Lonchura striata: one gene and its partner. The protein of the gene in region 1 purifies or fractionates together with the protein of each later gene. This does not show direct contact. Links are inferred from orthologs where the notes say so. Each region holds a gene or a part of one and is shown on either strand. Other genes may lie near its edges.

Region 1 (7,447 bases):
TTGCTACTATTTAACTGACAGCACAGAGCGTGGGTCCAGCTGGAGCTCCCTGCACAAGCACACGGGAAGGACAGGGAGTGCTCAGGACAGGAGTGAGCTCTCTTGAGGCAGGAGCTCAGCCCGTCACAGGAATAGCCTTTCTCTCTGGCCCAGAATCACTCACCAGACCTGTTCCAGAAGGGAAACTAGTGCACAAGAAAAGACGATACATCCTTTGCATCACTCAGCAGAGTTCCGGACGAGTCTTTTTGAGGCTGCAGTTCCAGCCATTTTAAAGCAGAGAAAAACAATTAGCAAAAAACTTCAGAGGAAAACACCAGAACCTTGATCTATTTTGGATGTGAAAGGAGGTTATTAACCTCCCCTTGGATCAGGGTCCATATACAGTCATGAGAGGAACAAACACAGAGCAGCAGGAAGGCTGGAAGAGTAGAGCTTCAGCCAGCAGCCACAACTCCACCACCAATGCTTACAGGGTGACCTCCAGTGGGATCAGTAAGACATGACAAATTTCCAAGTTACATGAAGTTACATCTTTATTTTAAAGCCATCTTTGCGCATTTTCAAGGAGCAGAAAGGGGAAAGAACAGGATCCTTTGGAGCTTCCTATTACCACCACCCCAGGACAGCTGCAGAGCCACAAGATTTCAGGCTGGCTACAGCGTGAGTTGACTGCTGCCTGTTTGGAGAGAACCAGGACCGCCAGCTCTGCTGAGCCAAGGAGCTACATGCACATGATGCCAGAGCTGTATCCTGGCACTCCTACATTCAACCCCCTCAACAGGCTCAGCAGAAGGATTCTTCAGGCACAGAAATGGCTGGCCCAGCCCTGTGCCCTGCTGTCTGTACACTTCATGAGCCCAGGTGATGCAGGCAGCTGCCTGAGGATTCCAGATCAGGTCCTGTCTCCCCTCTGTACTGGTCAGAGCAACCTGCACCTGGCACACAGACAGGTGTCTGTCCCGCTGCCTGGGCTGCTGCACACCCAAGCACCTGAAACCCCACTGGGTTAGCAGTGCTTCTCTGGGGCTCACTGACAGCACACCAACTGTTCTTGCTCAAGAAGAGGCAATTCCCATCTTCCACGATCCCCTAAGGAGTACAGCCTGGCAGCCCCTGGCAAGGGAACTTGTCAAAACACATTTTCAGACAGCTATCATCACACCCAGTTTAACAGTCTGCTCCTCCTGCCCTCCCCTCACACCTCTGTGAACCCCTGTGTTCAGCAGCAGCCGTGCAGCCACAGCCCCGGGCTGGTTTCTGCAGCTCCCCTGAACCACGTGCGGATCTGCCGCCTCAGGGCCCCCACGGCATTCCCCTGGTGGAGCGAGGGTGCTTCCCTGTGCTGGCAGCTCCCCGGCCTCCACCCTGCTTCCTCTTCATCTGGCCCTGTGATTCTGCTTTCAGTGTCTCAGTCCAGAAGGCATCAAAAGATCCTGGGGCCTGGTATCCTGACTCCTGAGGATCCAGGGCATCTTTGCTCAGCAGGACACATATGGCAGGAATGTTTCTCTTCACTGTCAAGGCATCGAGGCCTGCCTCAGGCACAATGGGTTCCCAGATTTCTTCAATCTGTTTGAAGAGCACTTTGGTGATCTGGTGCAGCTCCTTGAGCCTTCGTTTCATGATTTCCACACAGGTAATGGTCTTGCTAACAGCCTTGCCTGAGCCAGTGAAAAGAATCTGCCTCACTGAGTCCTGCTCCATCTTGCTCATGGCATAGCCCATCAGATTCCTAATTTTGCTCCCGTCCTTCACCTTCATTTCAATAATATCAGCAGGCAGGTCAGTGAAAGGAGGAGGACAAGGTTTCTCCACAATTTTGGTCTTCTTATAGTTCTCCATTCTGCAATGCTGAAAAGGAAAACAGACCCATGAACACACTGCCCACTCTAATTGCTGCCCAAAGAAACTCTCACCACATTTAGCCACAAGCTTTTCTCTGAAGGGCACTCTGAACTATCAGGGTTGGGAAATCCTGGAAAGGGACAACCAAAATATTAGCCCAGTCCTCTTAAGGACATACTTACAATATGAATGATACCACAGGGCAGCCTGAGTTTTGGCAAGCAGGCTGTGAAAAAAGCAAGTGTTAGTGTTGTGGGCTTAACCATGGTGACATGAAAACACTGCTGTATCTCAAGAGAAGACAGAACAAAAAGTGAGCTGGGGTGACTGAGAACAGAACTCGGGGATGCTTGCCACACCAGAACATGCACAGGACAAATTCAAGCACAATTTACATGCAGCAAGTCGTGTACAAATACAGGCTCATGGAGACCTGACCAGCCTAGCTGAGGCTAAAACACTGCATGTCACAAGGGAGATGGCAAGCCAGGGGTTGCAGGAATAAAAAAACATTTCCTCGAGGGAAGGACAGAAAGGCCAGGCCTCGCAGCTGCCGTCTGTGCCAAGGCAGGTGCCATCCTGTCCTAGGTCTGCTTGACCCTGTGCAGGGCAGCCCACGTCCCCACCGCACAGCTCAAGGGGCTGAAGGTCGCAGTACTTTGTTACCCGCAGGCTCCTGAGTCCCGCTGCGCCCAGACCCTGCACCCCGCACCGCGTCCTCCTCGGCACACGCTCCGAACCCTGGGAGCACACGAGGCCCGGGCCCTCACGCGGCCGCCGCCGCCATCGGAGCCCGGGGCGCCGGGGGGAGCCGGAGAGCGCCGGGGGGCGCCGGGGGGAGCCGGAGAGCGCGGCGGGATGCGGGAATGCCGGTGGGAGCCAGGGAGGTCCCGGACGGGCGCGCGGAGCCCGCGCTCACCTGCGGCCGCCGCAGCGCGCGCCTCGACACAAGATGGCGGCCGGCGCCGGGCGCGCGCACGCGCGAGGCGGGCGGGGCCCGAAGGAGGCGCGCGCCAATCGCACGGCGGTGACAGCGGGGGCGGGGCGAGCTGCGGGCCCCGCGCGGCACGGCGTCCCCAAACCTAACCCTAAACCCTGACCCTAAACCTCTCCATAACCCTGACCCTGACCCTAAACCTCACCCTAACCCTGACCCTAACCCTAACCCCAACCCTGACCCTAACCCTCACCCCAACCCTAACCCCAACCCTAACTCTGACCCTGACCCTAAACCTCACCCTAACCCTGACCCTAAACCTCAAGCTCACCCTAACCTCAACCCTAACCCTAACTCTGACCCTGAACCTAACCCTGACCCTAAACCTCACCCTAACCCTAACCCTCACCCTAAACCTCAACCTCACCCTAACCTCAACCCTAACCCTAACCCTCACCCCAACCCTAACGCTGACCCTGACCCTAAACCCTGACCTTAGCCCTGGCCCTAAACCTCACCCTAACCTTGACCCTAACCCTCACCCTCACCCCGATCCTAACCCTGACCCTAACCCTCACCCTGACCCTAGCCCTGACCCTAAACCTCACCCTAACCCTGACCCTAACCCTCACCCTAACCTCAACCCTAACCCCGACCCTAACCCTCACCCTGACCCTAAACCTCAACCCTAACCCTGACCCTAACCCTCAACCTAACCCCAACCCCGACCCTAACCCCGACCCTAACCCTGACCCTCACCTCAGCTCCTCGGGCAGCTGCAGGGAGCGGGGCTTTTCCGCAGGCCTGCAGCCCCACCGTGGTTTGACAGCCAGCGAGGCTGCTGATCAGAAACAGCTCTGGGACCGGCGAGCTCTTCTGGAATTCCTGTGGGCATTCTGCCCGTTCCTGCAGGACTCCCAGGGTCACACTCAGCTGGGCAGTGTTTCACCGACCTGAAGGGTTTGAGACCCTTGCAAAAGTATGGCCTTGGAAACTCCATGCTACAGCCAGACCAGGCAAGGCATGGCCTATGCCTCCCTCTAGAAAGGCAAAGAGCCAGAACGGGCCTTAGACTGCAGCAGCCTCAGGAAAGCAGAGGCAGGATAAAGGCAAAAGCTGCTACCTTCTCTCAGCACACAGATAGGAGAACAGCAAGGCAGAAAAGATCCCTAAGACCAGATTCTCCTGGGCAGACAACTCACACAAACAGGAAGAGTGTGGAAATGGTTTCCCTGCCCTTGGCCCAAGGCTGAAAGGAACCACTAGCCGTTTCCTGGAGGCTGCAAAGAGATCACTGCCTGGGGAAATATCCCCAGTCTGTGCCAGGAGCAGTCCTCACACTGAGGGAGAGACAGACAACCCAGTTAGCATTCCAGGACTTTACTATGGCCCACAGTAAGCACAGAAATGGGGTTTTGAAATACATTAAAACTGAGATGCATTTCAGAGAAATAAAAGATTTGCAAACAGTGGCAGATTAAGGAGCAGTGTGGCTTTGACTGGCGGCTGGCACAGTTCTGCACAGAGCTGGGTGCTCCAGGATCCTGCTGCGTCACTTCAGCATGCTCGCACCAAGCAGGAAGGAGCTGAGACCAGCAGGATGCAAGCTGTGCCACAGGGGCTCTGGACATGCCACTCTCCCAGCTCTGCCATCACTCTGCCACAGGTTTTGCTTGTTTGGCCACTTCCAGGCGTGTCAGGATTTCATTCCACTGCACAAACTGCTTGGAGAGAAGCAAAGTCTGGACACAACACTTAAGGAAAGTTATGTGGAAACTGTGAGGAAGAAACCTAGGTCAGAGCATCCTGACAGCACCATTACAATTTTGATTCCTTAGGAGAGGCCCAGGGCACCAAGGCACTTCATGGATTCACTCCACCCAGTGGCTGAGCCACTGCACAGCACCATACACCCATGGGAGTCCAGGAGGTACTTTGTGAACTCCACACACCACCGCCATGCAAGGGCTTTCCACAGCTTCCCTACCCACTCTGGCTTTGGGATGTGCCTCAGCATTGGGATCCTTCGCAGCCAGGACAGTGACATAGGTGTCACCCCATCAGAAAGGCTGTTAAACCCCAGGCTGGAGATGCAATGGGATCAGCCAGGGGAAGGAGTCAGTTCAGGAGTTCCAGGCATTTTAAAGGATACCATTTTGTTGTAATCCTCAAGGAGTGTCTTGACACTGTCAGTGAGATCGTGACGCTTCTCCTGTGAAGAGGGGAGCCGCAGTGCATGATCAATAAATAAGGTGAACAACATACCTCCCTTCCCAGTCCACGACAGCATGGCAGGAAACTCATCCAAGGCCAGCACTGAGATCAGTGCTCAGGCCCTGGCTGTGGTGCCCACTGCAGCTGGACAGGTTTTCACAATTAAGAGAAAACTGACAAACACTGGTCCCATGAAGCAGCAAACCCCCCAGGCTTGCACTGCTGCTTGCCTTTCCTCAGTATCCAGGCTTTGCTTGCCCCGGAACAGAAACTCAGAACAAAATGCTGAAAGAGACCATTAGGAACTGCCCAGGCTGCTCACTGCCAGCTCCAAGAGTGCTCATACAGGGAGGGAAAGGGTGAAGGGACAGGCTGACAGTGTCAACAACGTTCCAGAGAGTAGGACACTGGAGGAGAGCAATGCTTCACCTCAGAGTCTCAGTAAAAGGGGGAATTCAAGATGGTTAAACCAAATGTCCCTTACTATGTGTCACTGAAAGCTGTTTTGAGCAGGGTTATGGTGGGCAAATTTCCAACTTGGACCAAATTCACAGAAATCCTGGCTCCTTTTTCCCCTAGGAGTACTTAAAACTTCTTTAAGACTGTAGTATGAAAATTCAGATTGCAAAGAACTGCCATAAATGAGCAATTCAAGCAATTACAAATACTGGGTGTCAGTACAGCCACTTGTAAAAGGTTTCTAGGCCCTTCTACTCAATACTTATAGGAATGTTCACGGTACCTGCTGCTGTATGTGGATCTGTGAGAGCCTCTGCAGTTTGGCTGCATGGTCAGGAACCGCTGGAAGCACAAAAGAGAAATCAGTTTGGGCTGTTTTACAGCACATGGGATTAGCTCCCAACGTAAACCCCAGTCTTCCTCCATGAGCACAGCATGGCAGAACTCCACTTGCTGAGTGCAAGTGTCCCACACTATAGATAAAACTCACAGAGGATAAAAAAAATTACATAACTATCCTGCACATGGCACAAGCTCAGGGATGCCCACAGCGAGGGCTACTCACGAAACACACGGGACTAAACCACTGGCCAGAACAGATATTCTGGATGTAAAACAGCTCACAGGAAGGAATGACCTGCCAGGCTCCACCCCCTCTGCCACAGTGCTCTCTTTAGCCTGCTTCACAAGCTACTCTATCACCTCCATGACTTTGCAAGGGAGACTAGGGCAGCATGTGGCAGGAGCAGACTAACTTTGTACTCAGTTTACTTTCACACCACTAAGCTGTCTTCTTCTCTAGTCTCAGACTCAAGAGAAAAGAAAGCAAGCAGGACAGGCCACAGCTTAGCAGGTGGCATTTGCAGCTCCAGCTTGCAGAACATGCATACCTTGGATACTGGTGCTGTCCAAGATAGGCTGGAGGTTCTTCACTTGCTCCAGAAGGGCTGCACGGGCAGGAATAGCCTGTTCCTCTGGTTGTGTGGGGACAAGAAGCAACATCAGTAAACACAAAACACTGCTCTGGCTTTTCACTAGTGGTAATTTTCCCAGCTGATCTGTCTTTACAGAAAGGATTCATGATTTTTCATCACTTTTGTGCTGCTCATCCCTGGGTCTTGACTGACACCAATTTCAGGCAGGAGAATCTCCACCACGTTCTAATGATAGGACAAGGAGTGTACAAATGGAAAGAGGGGAAATTTAGGCTGGATATTAGGAGAAGATTCTTTACTGTGAAGGTGCCCAGGAGGATGTGGATGCTCCATCCCTGGCAGTGTTCAATGCCAGGTTGGATGGAGTCTGAGCAACCTGGGAAAGCTGGGGAAGGTGGATTGGGACTGGATGGTCCTTAAGTTCCCTTCCACCCCCTTAACATTCCGTGATTCAGTGGAATTCCACTGACAGATTATACTGGTCACGGGTTGATCAAACTCCTTGGGTCAAGAGAGGACAAGGCTAGGGGATGTCAAAACACACCCAATTGTCCCAGCCTGGAGAATACTGAAGTGGGGTAAGGAAATCATCCTAGCTCCCGCTTTTCTTACCAGCCTTTGATGAATTTGGGGCTAAATTGAATGATCAATACAGAAGAGATCAGAGCTGACAAAACTGCAGTGTGGCTGTGCACAAGGGAGCACTGAGGGTGACAGACACCCTTGTGCAAACCATCTCTCTGATACCTCCACAGGGCCTGCCGTGCCACATTTTACCACTGAAGAAAATAAATTCATCCTGACCCATCTTAGAGAAAGGATGCTTTATTTGCAGTGCTACAAAAGCCTCCTCTTTCCCCTCATCTCATACCTGCCAAGATGAACTGCAGCTTCATAGTGTCTGGAACAGCCATCCTGTCAATGTACTGGGGGTCAAGGTATTTTATTATATCTTCAACTGGAGGGATAAATAGGTTTGGAGACGAAAAGTAGGGAGATGTTATGGCATTCATAAGAGCAGCATTTCATGGAGAGCAGATCCTGACATGGGCAG
Region 2 (7,424 bases), on another chromosome or scaffold:
TTGGCTCTCCCAAAACAGAACTAAGCAATGGTTTCTATTTTTCATATAAAAGAAGCATAGAGCTTTCCTTGTCAATCCTAACACCCTTTCTTTAAAATTTAAAGAAAAAAAAAAGTAAAAATAATACTTTTTCTGAAGGTACTAAATTAATTTTCTTTTCCTTTCCATAGTAAGTTGCTAAGTGAAGTGAGACTGGCAACACCACACATTTCAGGAAAGTTACGTCTATCCTTATAAGGGTATAGCAGTATCTTAAATATTTCCACTGTGGAATGGAAGGGGATTGGTTTTTAAACAAGTGTGCTGACATATCTCCATGTTGGTCCATTTGCATTTGTTTCATAAAACCACAAAAGACCAGTAACCATAACAGCACGGAAGTCCTTAAAATATTTGTACCTAAAGCAAACTTCACTACACAGACTACTTGAATAGTAAGCTAATAAAAAACAGCTTACAGAAATAATGCCATGGGAATTTGCCATCATGTTACCACTTTTCCAGGACTTTCTGTTGACTGTATTCTTACCTAAAGGCAACTTTCACTAATACATATTAAAGTAACAGTTTAGAATCTGACAAATTGACTAGAAAATTGAGGCTAGGTAGTAATACAACAGCCTTTGCACTGGCATTAAGCAAGATATCCTCAAGGAAACACAGATGAATTCCTAGACAAACAAAGCAAGTATACCTTTCAGGTACAGGTAGCACATTGTCCTAGCCTTTAAAGAACAGTCAGACTATTAATTCCTGCTCAGACTACATATCCACAGATAGTTTCAGAATAGTTCACAGTCACATAGTCACAGACATTGCTCAGAAATTCCTTGTACATTTGTTGAAGAATGGGCAAAAATCTATATTTTCCAACCCCTTGAACACAAAATGTTCAAGGGGTTGGAAAGTAATTGAATGTACAAGGGAAAAAAGGTAAATCTAAGCTATGCAGTAGCTAATAATGATTTAGCAGCCTGAAATTCCCTCAGAGAGACCTTTAAAAAAGCAGCTTCTTCTTGACTATATAATAGGAGCATTGAGACACAAAAAAACAAGGGTTCTGCTCTCCTCGATGCACAAAATATCAGAGTCCTGCTTCTAGTTCAGATAGCAAGTTTTAAGAGCAGCAAGTAGATAGAGAAAAGCTTGGAAAGAGCCACTAGGATTCAGAATGTTTATAGAACAACCCCTGAGTACAAGCAAATTGGATCTCTTTTCTCCTTCAGCTGTGGCTTCAGCAGACCACCCAGAGCCTTTGAATAAGGCATCTGTTACACAAAGAAGAAACATCAAAACTCCAGTCCCTTTTACTCCTGACAGTGGACAAATTCCATAAAAGATTCAGATCATATGTCAGGAAGGATTTTCAAATTACAAATTTGAAAATCCTTCCTGACACATAATCTGAACATGAGGCTCTCAAAACAGACTAGACAACAAGCAAACCACTCAAGTTATAAATAAATGTGACCTGTCCAGAGGTAAAGCTACAAAGGAAAACCAACTTGCTTTGAAAGACACCACATTCCACCATGCCCACTGTGTCCCCTGGGTCACAGCAGATCCAAGCTGCTTCATTTACTGGGATGGGGCCTCCATGCCACCACTCAGCACAGGTACACCCCAGAACAAATGACCTTCAGAGGCTCTCTCCAGATTTTCTGTAACTTCCTCCTTCAACAACAACAGCATAATCCTTATCAGAATGAGACATTCAGCAATCCAACAACCCTAATTCAGTTGCTCCTAGCTGAGCTAAGCAGCACTGTCAATTAAAGGCTGACACATCTGTCAAAAAAAGACCAAAGTACCACTGGTAGCTAAATTCAGCTGCAAACGTCAGAGCACATCTATTAGTTGGGAATCATTGTACATAAACAGTAAACTGTGAACTACTGTGCTGTGCCTTGTCTAGAAATACTCAGGACTTCCTATGTTTAATAACTTAATACTGTTTAAAAAAATTAAAGTGCTATAGGCAAAAGTACAGTGAATGCAGCTACAGCCACTTCCACAATCCATCAAGACCTTGTTATAGGCTTTATTGAAACAATAATGCTGAAGGGAAGTTAAACACAACAAACCACAAGCGTGCACTAGAACTTCACCCCACTTCAAAATATGTCCGAAAAATCACCAAGGACTTTTCCATCTTAGGAAAAGGTGACGTTTTTGATTTAACTGTGAATTTCTGGTACAGTTTTATTGCAGACAACCCACACCAGATGCTGGTGGGCGATTACTATTTTTTGTAAACCACAAACTGTGACCACTTTCCATAAAGATAGACAACTACACTGACCACATACCCAAAAAAATAAACACTTGCATTTCGCCTAGGAAGACTGCATGGAAGTATCCCTTACAGATAACTACGAGACCGCGGCTCTCCAGTGCTTACGGTGCTGGTCTAACTCAGCAGCACTGTGAGTTGCTACAAAAACAGGCAAGTATCACCAAGAAGGAGAAACACGCCAGGCTTTCCCTGAATCCACAGCTAAGGAAACCTGGCAAGAAGCGCGTGTCAGAGTCAGGGAGGAGGAAGGTCTGAAGTGCTTCAAGGAGCCAGGGGCAGGCAGAGGGCAGGGGGCCATTCTGACTGCCACTACAGCGTCCACGTAGCCGAGGGGCGAAGAGAGACACAAGAGACCTATTGACACAGGCGACCGAGCCACGAAGCCGGTCTCCTCCCATCCTACGTGGCCGGCTGCCCTTCAGCCTCCCTGGCTGCCTTGCCCGGAGCTCTCCCCATTCCTTCAGCCGCCCACCGCCGCCGTCCCGACCCCTCCGGCAGGACCCGTCTCCGAGCGGCTCCCCGCCGGACGCCCGCCCCTCACCAGTCGCTAGATGAATGGACTCCGGCGGGCAGGGCGGGACGCTCGCTGGGCAGCGCGGGGGCTCATCCTCAGTGACTCCGGGGCAGGGCCAGGCTGGGGCGCAGCCGCTACCGCGACAGCTCCGCCGGCGACAGCGGCGGCGACAGGCGGGGCCGCGGCTCGGCGGGGCGCACCGACGGCGGCCAGCGCACCCACCAAGAAGCGGAACGCCGATTGGCCGCGGCGCCGCCGCACCTCGCGCGCCGATTGGCTGCGGCTGCCGGCTCGGCCCCGCCCCCGCGGCCGAGCCCGGATTGACTGACAGGTGGGGTCAGGGTGGGGGCGGGCCAGCAGGAGGGAGCGGGGCAGGGGCGGGGCGCGGTGCCGCAGGGGTTAACCCGGACGGGCGGCGGGTGCGGGGATCGCTCCCTGTGCCGGGCACGGAAGGGACTGGAGTTATCGGGGAGCAGCGAGGGGAAAGGGCAGCAGCTGAGCGGCCTCCTGCTGGCAGTCTTGGCAGGAGAAACACCGTGCCTTGCTGCGAAGGAGGGGCATGAGTGGCTGGTAAGGTCATGCTCCCTCCTGGAGGGCTCAACAGCAAATAAATACCCAACCTAGAGATCCCTCGAAGTAATGGAGAGAAAGCGCGGAGAAGGCTGTGCCGATTCAGCCTGTGTTAAGCCACAGCAGTTTCTCTCTCTGAGAGAACAAGTGGTCTGATGTATGGGATACAGCTTGATTCTTTGTGAGGCTTTTGACACCATCTCGGGTCAGCCTCGTAAGCAAACCTGGTGTGTGCGCAAGGATTTGCACACCTGCTCTTGTGACTCCTGCCAAGCACTCCGTGAGGGCTCAGTTCTTTTTGGTGGATGTGAAACATGCATATTTTATTATTAGCCTTTTGCAAATTATAGAATGAATATTATATGTTTAATGTTAGAAAGTTATGCTGTATTAATTCTCTTAAGTAGTGTATTAAATATAGTTCCAGGTTATAACATAATGTTAAAATAGAAACTATTCAATGTAAGATATTTTTTACTAGCTCAAGAAAAGGGATAAGATAATCAAGAAACTGCACAGAGGTAGCAGCAACACAAAACCTGAGGAGGTTTCCTCTTATCAGAAAAGACAAACATTCTTCCACCTTCTCTGTTTTTATGGAACCACCAGGATTAAGGGGAAGAAGTTGACATAAACCAGAAAAATTCTTAATTTGCAAGGAATTTATGCATCATGTATGAGGTATATGAATATGCAACAGGCTATTGCTTTTAAGGGTTATTCCTTTGTTCACAAGGCATATTTTTGGCATCTTAGTGCCCAAAAACATCCGGATGTCCTTAATTCTTTGTTTTTTATTGTCTTGTAGTGCCCTAATACTCATTGTCCAAATTTTTATTACTCTAATTTTATTACTAATAAACTTTTAAGATTTAAAAAAACAAGTGATTGGTGTTTTTCACAGTGGATGTCTTAGGTGATGCAATAGGTGGCACAGATTACCAATTAATCTGGGACAGGATTAGGGTGTACTGTTTAAAGGCAGGAAGCTGAACTCAAGACAAGCTTGAATTGGGTTGTCAGCTCAACAATGTAAAATACAGAGTAAAACAAATACATATCACCTTTAAAAAAATAAATATATGTTTTTTTTCCCAAGAAATATACTAATAATGTATTGACATTAGTGTAATGGATTCCTATGTGTTTTTTAAAGCCACAGTATTATCCAATGCAGTGTAAGCATTGTGACCTTAAAACAAAACGTAGCTATCTTTAGATCCACAAAACAGTTGAAAAAAAAGTTATTAATGTTCTTCAGCATGTTCTTCAGCAGCAGTTCAATTTGGGAAAGATTCAGTATGAATTGTATTTAGGTGAATCTCAAGCATTTTTACCTGTGCCATCTGACACAGTTAATGTGAACTATAAAATATGCTCTCTGATTTTCTCTGTATACGTGTTTAGTTTGCCAGCAGCCATTCACCATTGTAACCAAAACTGCAACCTACGTGAAATTTATTTATGCATTATTTTCCCAGTGACAGTTTCTTAGTGTTTCAGTTACAAACAAAGGTCGGAGGTGGCTGTGCCCCAGGTCTGCTGCCAGCTGGCCTAAGGACAGAGATGACCATCTGGGGAGATGAGGAGATCCAAATACAGCTGAAGTCAGTTGTAAGCAATGCTTTGTTGCATAATAACAAATTCAAGTGAATAGCCTGGACCGACTCTGGAGCAGCAGAGAGCATGATGGAAAGATGAAGAGGCTTGAGACAGAATAATATCTAAAATTCTATATGAAAAAGATAGTTTCTGGAAGCTGGACTGCCCCTCACATCTTTCATAATAAATACTACTGTAAAGAATAGAAAAGTGCAGCAAACAACACAGAAAAGTGGGAAAATAACAGAGTCATGAATAGGACCTGATAGAGTCCAAGTCAGACAAAACCTTGACAGAATAACCAAAAGCTTTTAGCAATCGTTTTCTATGCAAGAGTTTTATCTTTGCAGGACTTTTAATATATTCATGGAAAAATAAGATATTAACTGCTTTCCCTGTTTTTTATTGTTTAGGTTTTTCTAATTGACCCCAGCTTACAGGTCAGTAATAAAAATTCCTACTATCTTGTACTGCCTCTGCAAAAGCAGCAGCAAATTAGTGAACACCATTCACAGAACCAGACTGCTACAGCTTGATTTGCAGAGCTATGTTGAGGTGCTAAAGTAATATTGAAAAACAAAAGTAGCTCAAACAGGGTAACTTGAGCCTCTGTTTAAATTACTTGTTTTGGTTTGGGTTTTTCTACTGTGGAAAATTACAACACTGTTGCAAAAAAAATACACTATTTTGAGTCTTTCGGAAAAAATTACAGATGTGGAGATGAAATGCCAGCAACAAATCACTGAAGAGTATTTTTAATTGGGTAGTCCAACAGCCAGGTTTGCACGTTCATGACACACGTAGCATGTGTCTGTCAATAAAGAATTGTTCTTCTGGCTTTTTTCAGTCTGTTATGAAAAGATCTGAATTATCAGAAATAAACAAGTAATTATAGGAAAAAATATGTCTTTAACTGCTGTTGTTACTTTTTATAGAAGCGCTAAACTTTAATCCATAAAAAGGAAGGAAGAGCAACACTTTAAAAGGAAAACCAGTATACGTAGCCATCTTCAGAATTTGAGGAGGAACATCAATTTTGAGCAACTTAACTAGCCTACAGAGTGTATTTTTGTCTTAATATGCTTCTCAGTTCATTGACTGTTGAAGAATTACAAATTGGCTGTGCTCTAAATGTGTGTACTTATTTAAGGTTAGGGAAGATAAATCTAGGCTATAGAGAGGACATTACCACATTAGACCGCTTTCTAGTGACCTATTAATCTTATCCATCCATCCATCCATCCATTGTAGTCTGCACCAGACTTAGGCTACTGGAGGAATTAGAGGAGGAAATGTAAGTGACAGAAAGGAAAAAAAGGACTTTGTGCTTTATTCTTTCTGAAATTTATCCTGAATGTTGTGGAAAAAAGAGTGATTCTTTTTTAAGTAATCAAAAAGTTCAATCTATATATCAAAATTAAAAAGAATTATTTTTTTCCTTTTTGGCTATACTAAATGTCAAGTGACAGATTGCTGCCTTCATATATCTCTTAATGTGCCTAATTATTACCAGTGTCCTCTGTAACCTTGAGTAATAGCTGTTATTGGCAGCAGTAATAATCTGCTGAAGAAAATATTAATCAGGCTTAACTTCTGATACTAAAAGTGTTTCTCATAATCCTTCTCTTTAATGAACTTAAAAAAAAGAAGGGTATAATATGCTAGAAAATTCATATTACAGAATTAATAAAACAAAATTCAATGTAACGCCTCTTAGAAGGGCAAGCTTGCAAAAAGAATTATCTCCAAATTTACTAAAACTATGTGCATCTTGCTTTAACAAAGCTTATCCTCTTACTCAGACAGGGTCATTAAATTCCTGGTGTATAAGAGTCTAAGAAAAGTGTGAAGAAGTCCAAGGATTAAACAGAGTGGAAATGACAGTGGTGATGGATATGGGCTTCCCAACCTGATCCATCTACTTGAGAGTTCCCCTGTGAAGTAGGAAATAGAGATGTGATGAGTATCCAGGAGCTTTCTCTCAGCAAATCATGGCTCCAGAAAAGCAAGTTCTTCGTCTTGCATGGCTGGAACACTTCCATGTAGCTGTGCCATGTCAGAAACTCCAACATCTCCTCATTAGCTTGCAAGATTTCCAGCTTCTCTAATTAGACTTTTGGAGCCTCTCTTATGCCCAGGGTAGATTTTCTGTTATTGTAGTATTCCAGAGACACAGAAAGGACAGTTTGTTATCAGTGATATGAGGCGTGTGTGGTGACAATGCATTGTCCCCTGTTTTTTTCAGAATTCCCATAATTTTAAAAAATGTTTTGTAAAGTCCTGTGATAAATAGCCTAACATACATGAAACAAAAATTATATTGGCATCCCACAGGTACTAAAAGAACTTTTGTGTGACCTGGTAAAGGGACAGTTATTAGAAAGTAATCTTCAATAAAAATGGAGACTACAGTACATGTAAAGTTATTGCAGTATTATCTGT

What was found.
Region 2: the proteins of RPP25L (region 1) and IBTK purify together in Homo sapiens (co-immunoprecipitation; 3 studies listed by BioGRID and IntAct, with this or other methods). This does not show direct contact. The link is inferred for Lonchura striata from reciprocal best matches to the Homo sapiens genes RPP25L and IBTK.

The regions. Positions count from the first base shown.
Region 1 is NC_134642.1:40,931,717-40,939,163, reverse strand, and holds RPP25L (ribonuclease P protein subunit p25-like protein), read right to left. Parts: upstream 2,827-7,447; 5' UTR 2,768-2,826; intron 2,603-2,767; exon of another isoform or gene 2,515-2,602; intron 2,306-2,514; exon of another isoform or gene 2,027-2,305; intron 1,855-2,026; 5' UTR 1,846-1,854; coding exon 1,297-1,845; 3' UTR 511-1,296; downstream 1-510. Other genes in the region: DCTN3 (dynactin subunit 3), read right to left, coding at 4,438-4,527, 4,938-4,997, 5,742-5,800, 6,349-6,432, 7,265-7,351. UniProt on the Homo sapiens protein: May be a component of ribonuclease P or MRP.
Region 2 is NC_134605.1:80,675,945-80,683,368, reverse strand, and holds the start of IBTK (inhibitor of Bruton tyrosine kinase), read right to left. Parts: upstream 3,018-7,424; 5' UTR 2,838-3,017; intron 1-2,837. UniProt on the Homo sapiens protein: Acts as an inhibitor of BTK tyrosine kinase activity, thereby playing a role in B-cell development. Down-regulates BTK kinase activity, leading to interference with BTK-mediated calcium mobilization and NF-kappa-B-driven transcription.